Macaca mulatta: one gene and its partner. The protein of the gene in region 1 purifies or fractionates together with the protein of each later gene. This does not show direct contact. Links are inferred from orthologs where the notes say so. Each region holds a gene or a part of one and is shown on either strand. Other genes may lie near its edges.

Region 1 (3,746 bases):
AGGCTTGAGCCACCGCGCCCGGCTGATCTTTCAAATTCTATCTTCTCCTCACAAAATTTTAAGTATGAAAACTACAAGGTAAAGTCCCACTGGGAAAAAACAAAGATCTCTTGCTAGAAAAATTTCCCATACTCATGGGGTTTTAACAAATGGCTGGCTTATTTTGGCTATTTGGTTATTTTTACAGTACAAAAAGAAAGAAATACACATATCTGTTTAGAACTTGGTCCCAGGGGATTCTCCTAAGCAGTATTTTTTCCATAGCTGTAATTTATCCTCGGCCTGAAGATAGGTAAGGCTTATTTACAGAAATAAGGCTTATTAGGAAAGGTTTATTTCTAATTTACAGAAAAGGTATCCATAAGAAGGTTGGATTTTCCCAAGACTAGCGCCAGTAAGTCGTGGAGGAGAGCAAGACGCAAGGTCTCCATTACTTTTCATGGCGTGTCTATCTACGTACGCACACATGTACCATGCACAGAGCAACGAGAAATATACACATACATCCATATACACGGATAGCCCCAGCAAAGGCAGGGGTAAAAATCGGACACTGCAAAACATAAATTTAAAAAATCAAACCATCACAAAGCACCTAGAGCTTTGTCTTCCCTGGTGTTTTATGAAGAGCTTCAAAGTCCTTAAGAAAAAGTAAAGCAGCATTTGGGTTATACGTAGATCGCTTAGGCTACGTGAGACCTGGGGGTTAACTTAAAACTCCGGCGCATGTGTCGCAGAGACGAGGCAAAGCGCGCCTCCAGACACTGACGAGGACGCCCTCCGGGCCGCCGTCAGCCCGCGCCCCCGAGCGCCACGCACCCCACGGCGGTCCGGCACCCTCAGGCCCACAGCGGTCCGCGGAAGGGAACCAGCGCGGGGCCAACGCGCGCCACCGACTCACAATCGAGGCCGCACTCCGGCTGACGTCACCCTCTTTCGACCCGCCCCCTGAGCCCGGAATGAGGCGGCCGCTCATTGGCTGCGCCGCCGGCGGCCTCGGGGCCAATGACAGGGCGGCGAGCGTCTGGGTCCGGCCTTGACGTTGTGCCGCTCGCCGCGGGGTTTATTTGGCTCCGGGTCCCTCGGCTGCCGCCATTAGGGGTCCGCAGCCCCGCGGCCGCCTCCCACACCTCACTGCCCCCGCCCCCCGGGGCTCCCCAGCCTCCGCGCCTCCTCTCCGCCCCTCTACCCCGGCCTCCGGCAGCCAGGAGCCGCGCGCGGACCCGCGGAGACCATGTCCTGACTGAGGGGAGAAGGCGGAGGCGGCAGCAGCGGGGCGGGCGGCGGCGCGGAGGGAGGCGGAGAGGGGACGGGCTCGACTCGTCGCCGCGGGCTGCGCGGGGAGTCGCCGCCGCCGCCGCCGCCGCCGCCGCCGCCAAGCGCCCGTCGGACGGGGAGGAGGAGCAGGAGCTGGAGGGGGAGCCGCCGCCGCCAGGTAACCGGGCCCTGGGGGGCGCCCCACCGCGGCCTGCCGGGTCCCTCGCTTCCAGGCGGCGCCCAGGTTGCTGGGCCTCCCGGGCTGCCCGCCCGCCCGGCACCCCGGGGGCGGCCGCGTCGCAGGCGCGGGGAGGGCAGGGGCCCGGGCCGCCGCTGTCGGCCCTTCCATCTTAGGCGCTCCGGGTGCGGGGACGGCCCAGGGGCTGTGGGAGGGCGGGTCCGCCCAGCTTGTTTACCGACCGCCGGCCGGCCGCGGCTGGACGCCGTGCGGGTCCCGCCGCCGCTCTTCCGCCAGATTTCCCCACAACTTCTTTTCCTGCCGGAGACGGGTTAGCTAGTGGGGTTTCGGTCCCATTCCGCAATAGGCCGTAAACACTTGGGTCCATCGCCACAAGTTGGTTCTGGTCTCCAAACTTGTGTTTCAGTCCCTCGGCCACTTGCTTTCCACCTCCTGCGGTGGCCTCCAGTTGCCATTTCTAGGAAAATAAAGGTGGGGGACGACGAGGCGGGTGGGGAGGAGGAGCTGGAGCTAGTGGAAAGATTCGTCTACCCCTTCTGTTCTAAGTAACGAGTGTTCAGTGCAAGGATCTGTTTCTTCTCTGCTGTGGTTTGGTGCGGGTCATTTCACAGACAAAAGAACTGTAGTGAATGCTGGCATTAAGCGCAGGGAACAGGCAGTTTAGGTTAAGCCTGGAAGTTTGAACCGGCCCATTATCTTTGAGGTACACTGGTGTTTTGAAACTCTCTTGCTGAGAATTGTGTATTTCCGTCAGTTGATTACCCTTTTCTATAACTCCGTAGACTGTCGATTTAAGCGCCGCCCCATTTTACCAGTATTTTGGTTTCACCGTGTTTATGATGATGTTAATAAATCTAATATGCAAAAATACCGTTTTAGGAACACAATTCGAGTTTTTTTTTTTTTGAGACGGAGTTTCGCGCTTGTTGCCCAAGCTGGAGTGCAGTGGCGCTATCTCGGCTCACTGCAACCTCCACCTCCTAGGTTCAAGCGATTTTCCTGCCTCAGCCTTCTGAGTAGTTGGGACTACAGGAATGCGCCACCACGCCCGGCTAATTTTGTATTGTTAGTAGAGATGGGGGTTTCTCCATGTTGGTCAGGCTGGTCTCGAACTCCCGACCTCAGGTGATCCGCCCGTCTCTCGGCCTCCCAAAGTGCTGGATTTAGGCGTGAGCCACCGCGCTTGGCCTGAGAGAAATCTTTAACTGGGACCTATTCTGTAAAGAGTGATTTCTTTACCTGTGTGTTTTAGTTAACATCACTTGTGCAGTATCCAGCAGTACCCCTGTTTTGATCAAACATGGATGACTCAGTGTACAAAACATAAACCAGGGGAAACCATAAGGAATTTTGATCTCGCCTTGTGCCAAGGCTCTTGGGAAAGTCATCTGAACTATGGGAGAAATAAAGCTGGATTTTGTCTCCTTGTTATTATTTTGAGTTAAATGAAGTAATTCTAAAAAAATTTAGAATCCTCTTGACTTTTGGCTCTAAAGGTAGGCAGGCTCTTTATACTAAAATTTCATAACATTGTTTTTATTGGGCTGTTGGGGGTTTACGAGATAGTAGGACAGTAATGACACATTTTGCTCTTTTGAGGAGGATGTTATTTGAATGTCATGAAGGATTTTATTTCTGTTGCTGTTTTAGCGCCTTTTATTAATGCCTCAGAGCATTGGGACACCCATTTATTTACTCTTGAAATGTGCTTGGGTATGATGAACTCATTCATAGTAATATATTTTAAGCTCGTGGCCTTGATCCATGTCTGTACGCTGATAGGGGTTATGGCATGTCACATTTAAAGTCTGAGGATTAACATAGTTTTGGAACTCATGATCCATTTGTACAATATTTGAGGGAAATTGCTTCATATGTGTAATTGATACAGTGAGAGCTTGTTCATGTGCTTTATAATAAATGTAAACTTTAAATGTGAATTACAGAAGTAGACCACTGACCTGGCCGGTGGCTCTTGCCTATAATCTCAGCACTTTGGGAGGCTGAGGCGGGCGGATCGCCTGAGGTCAGGAGTTCGATACTAGCCTGGGCAACATGGTGAAACCCCGTCTCTACTAAAAATATAAAAAAATTAGCTGCGCATGGTATCGTGTGCCTGTAATCCCAGCTACTCGGAAGGCTGAGGCAAGAGAATCCCTTGAACCGCGGAGGCGGAGGTTGCTGTGAGCCGAAATCGAGCCACTGCACTCCAGCCTGGGTGACTGAGCGGGACTGCATTTGAAAACAACACAAAACAAAAGTAGACCACTATTAATTTGGTTCAGGTTTT
Region 2 (3,746 bases), on another chromosome or scaffold:
GTGGTTATCGTAAATGTAACCAGCTGAATCAATCTGTGAGCTGACAGCCATTCTGTGGAAATGGAATTCAGAAACTTTGACTTCAGGTAGGGATACAACTAGTTATACATCCACTCCCCTTTCTGAGTTACTCGGTCCTGCCTAAGACTTGCTGCCACCAAGATCTGCATTCCTGTGTTCACAAGGCAGACATTCCTTGCATCCTCTGTACTCTCCATTGTTTAACTTCACGGCAAACACCATTCCCCGCAATATAATGAGGCCAAGGACAGAAAAAAGTCGCCTCAGCTGGCAAGCATAGTGTGGAAAAACCTGCCACACAAATTTGCAATTATTCGACTTCTGCCTGGAAAGCAGGTCGGCTGGATTTATGTCCCCCAAAATTAGTATTCTCTTCTGTACAAACTGTGGTTGAGAGAAGGGTGATCTCCAGGTGTTTCATCTTTGCACCCTTGCTTGCAGCACCACGCCCACAGTCGCGTCCAGAAAAAAGAAAAAAAGGGGGGAGCAAGGAAGCCAGGTTTTCAACAACTAATTCATTCTAATGCAGACATCAAAGCCCACTTCATTTATTAACATTCTGGAAAAAATCCCAATCGATCAGGCCACCAGAGCCCTCCTTTCCTAAACTCCCCGTACAGTCAGGGAAAAGCACTAAGCACTAGCCACGGTCCTGCCCAGAAACCACGCAGAGGTGGAAAGTTGCAGACCAAGGGCCGGGAGGGGCACGAGCCCATCCTGAAGCCCGGGACCGAGGACGGCGCTTCCTCCCGGAAGTGACGCGAGCTCAATCCCAGCCTTGCTCTTCCCAAACAAAAGGGATCTTGGGGCCCCGGGAGGAGCCTGAATGACATTGGAGAAGCTCCGCCTCCAGCCGGCGCGGATTGGGGACAATGCTGGAGAAGCAAGGAGGCGATTGGCGCTGGTGAATGCCAATGCCCCCGCCGGGCGGCTGAGGGGGCGGGGCCTCTGCCGCTGTGGATGGGGAGTAGAGGCGGAGGGGAGCGGAGCCCGGTGCGTCGTGGAAAGGTAGGAACCACACTCCCTGGGGCTTGATGATGGCTGAGAGGCCGGGTTCTCAAGAGCAAAGCAAGTATAGGGGCACCGGTAGCTTCCCGCCGCTGTCCTAACGGCCTCTGGGCCCATCCCCTGAGGGGGCGGGGCCATCTCCTCCACCTCCCGGTATTCCCCGAGGAGGCGGCTCCTCATCCTTTGAGGGTCCTCACAGCTACTTTTTGTCCCTCGTCGATTCCCAGCTCCTCAGAAGGGGCTTCCCTCTGATACCCCTCATTCAAAGGCTCTTCCCACCCCGCACCTCAGCCTTGGAGGAGAGGACTCACAGGTACCGTACCGATTCTCTAGGCTGCCGCCCCCAACCCCGTTTTGCACCCCCGGAAGGCCAGACATCCCTCCCTACACCTGTCTCTGCTCTCCAGGGTGGGACTGGAGCTGCTTTCCTCCGTAAGATAAAATTAGTGTTTCCCAAAAAAGAGGGATGGGGCGAAGCAAAAATCAAAGACCGACCTAGACAGCCAGCTTTACCGAGGAAACGGCTTCTCCCACTTAAGTTCTTCCCATCCCCCATTCTCTGATGCTCAGTCTTCCTCCCGCCGCCCCTCACATCCTCTGGCCTCTTGTGAGGAGTCGAGAGCTCTCCTGTTTTGGGACTTCTTTGGACTCTGAAAGAGGGAGAACTAGGACCTCCTCTCCCTCGCCCTTTGTACCTTTCTTCTACTTTCTGTTCCTTCTGGGAGAACCCAGCCTCTAAGGGTTTCTTAGGTTTGAATTGCGTTTCATTTTTCCTTTTCCACCCTATTTCTTCTCTGAGAACTTGATGAAAAGCCATGTTATATTTCACAGTGAGGTGGGTGTGTTGGATATCTGCAGAGTTGGCTTTGTGTGGGCAGGAATGCAGTGTATGTTGCTTGACAGTCAATGAATAACACCATGTTTTCAAATGAAACAGTATACATAAGTAAATAAATAGCAGTGGATTAGGAATGAGTATATCCCAGTCTAGGATGGGCTGGTCCATTGCTCAGGGAGACTGCAGTTAACCTTGAAGGTATACTGCAGTTTGAAACAAAAGGCAGGAAGTGTTTGAAGAAAATTCAGGGTCAGTCATCTAGGCTTATGATTAATCTAGTCCTGTGTCCTTTGGTTACTCTCTAACCCCTTTTTTATAGTGTCTCCCCCGCCCCCAGGAAACATTCATGTATATTTTGATTGGTTTTACGATCATCTATCAAAATTTAGACGATGAAAAGTAATTTTTTAATCTCAGAGATCAAAGTAAATAAAGGCAAGGTGTTCTAGCTATTCATGTTTACCAAAAAGTGCCTCTAGTGTGCTCCTAAAGGTTTTGTCAAGTGGCCTTCATTTCAGCAGGTGCAAAGTGTTGATTTTGACCTCAAGTTAATGTCGTTGAATCCCCAGTAATCATCTATCGCTAGCACTTTTATATATTAAAATTTACCATATTTTTAGCATAGTTTTTTTTTTGCTTTCAATCTCAAGTCCACCTCCCCGCTGTCAACTATAGCCAAAGCTGATGGCAATGAAGTTCAAGGAGTTGGAATCACAGAGGGTGATTGTAATGACTGTTGTCTTTTACCTTCTTGATTAGACTTCCTGAGGGTAATTATTTTTGAATAGTTAGAATTGAAGGTTTCAGAGTGCTCACAGATCTTCTTAGTGAGCGTTTCCAAATCTCCAATAAGAAAGCACAAAGAAGAAACTGGAGGGTGTCTCTAGCAAACACAATGTGTGCTGCAATAGAAGGGTAAAACATGGGCTCCCTGCAATAACAGCAGAAAAAGCTAAAAGTAGAACAGAAAATCCCAAAAAGATAAGTTGTATTACATCAGCAGAGAACAGAAAATAAACTAAGGTAAGAGACTAAGCAAACCAAAGTTGTGGTGATTGCTGAGCTTTAATAGGAAAAAGCAAATAATGTTCTTTTATTATTTAGCACAGTAAGCAAGATCTGTTTGTTACACTTTTGGGTCTTGAAAATCTTTCCTTTAACCTTTTCAACACCTGTTTGGTCATGCCAGATGAAGAAAAGCGTACTATGCAGGGGATATATGTCTGATCTCTCTCCTTGAATTATAAATTCTTTGAGGGCAGATAGTAGTATTTTTTGTTTTTCGTCTTTGTCTCTTTCACAGTTCCTGGTATATAGTATGACTTAATGAGTGTTTGTTTAACTTAGTTTGAAGCTGTCACCTTAGGGTAGACTGAAAGGCAATGCACTGATTAGATGTGGCACAACTTGTTAGTATAAACCGTCTACTTGTTGTCTTCATTTAACTTGATTTTCCCCATCTGCTGTCTTATGAAATTCCAGTGTCTTAAGTGACTAAAATTTTGAATTTCTTATAAAGAAATATCTGTGAGGCAGGATGTGGTGGCTCATCCCTGTAATCCTAGCTACTTGGGAGGCTGAGGCAGGAGGATTGCTTGAGCCCGGGTGTTTGAGGTTACAGTGAGCTATGATCATGCCACTGCACTCTCCAGCCTGGGCAGCAGAAAGAGACCCTGTCTCTTAAAAAAAAAAAACAGTTAAAAAAAAAAAAAAAATATATATATATATATATATATATATATATATATATATATATATATATAAAATCTACTGGTTAGAAAATACTATTTTTACTGTCATGAAATTTGCACCAGACTTAAGAACATAATGAGTGCTAATCATTTCAGGATTTTATTGTTTTAAATATCTGACCCGATAG

Evidence for each region. The genes of interacting proteins can lie anywhere in the genome.
Region 2: the proteins of ZRANB1 (region 1) and CTTNBP2NL purify together in Homo sapiens (affinity purification with mass spectrometry; 4 studies listed by BioGRID and IntAct, with this or other methods). This does not show direct contact. The link is inferred for Macaca mulatta from reciprocal best matches to the Homo sapiens genes ZRANB1 and CTTNBP2NL.

What each region holds. Positions count from the first base shown.
Region 1 is NC_133414.1:136,976,980-136,980,725, forward strand, and holds the start of ZRANB1 (ubiquitin thioesterase ZRANB1), read left to right. Parts: upstream 1-1,028; 5' UTR 1,029-1,435; intron 1,436-3,746. UniProt on the Homo sapiens protein: Ubiquitin thioesterase, which specifically hydrolyzes 'Lys-29'-linked and 'Lys-33'-linked diubiquitin. Also cleaves 'Lys-63'-linked chains, but with 40-fold less efficiency compared to 'Lys-29'-linked ones.
Region 2 is NC_133406.1:127,871,684-127,875,429, reverse strand, and holds the start of CTTNBP2NL (CTTNBP2 N-terminal-like protein), read left to right. Parts: upstream 1-984; 5' UTR 985-1,029; exon of another isoform or gene 1,030-1,342; intron 1,343-3,746. UniProt on the Homo sapiens protein: Regulates lamellipodial actin dynamics in a CTTN-dependent manner. Associates with core striatin-interacting phosphatase and kinase (STRIPAK) complex to form CTTNBP2NL-STRIPAK complexes.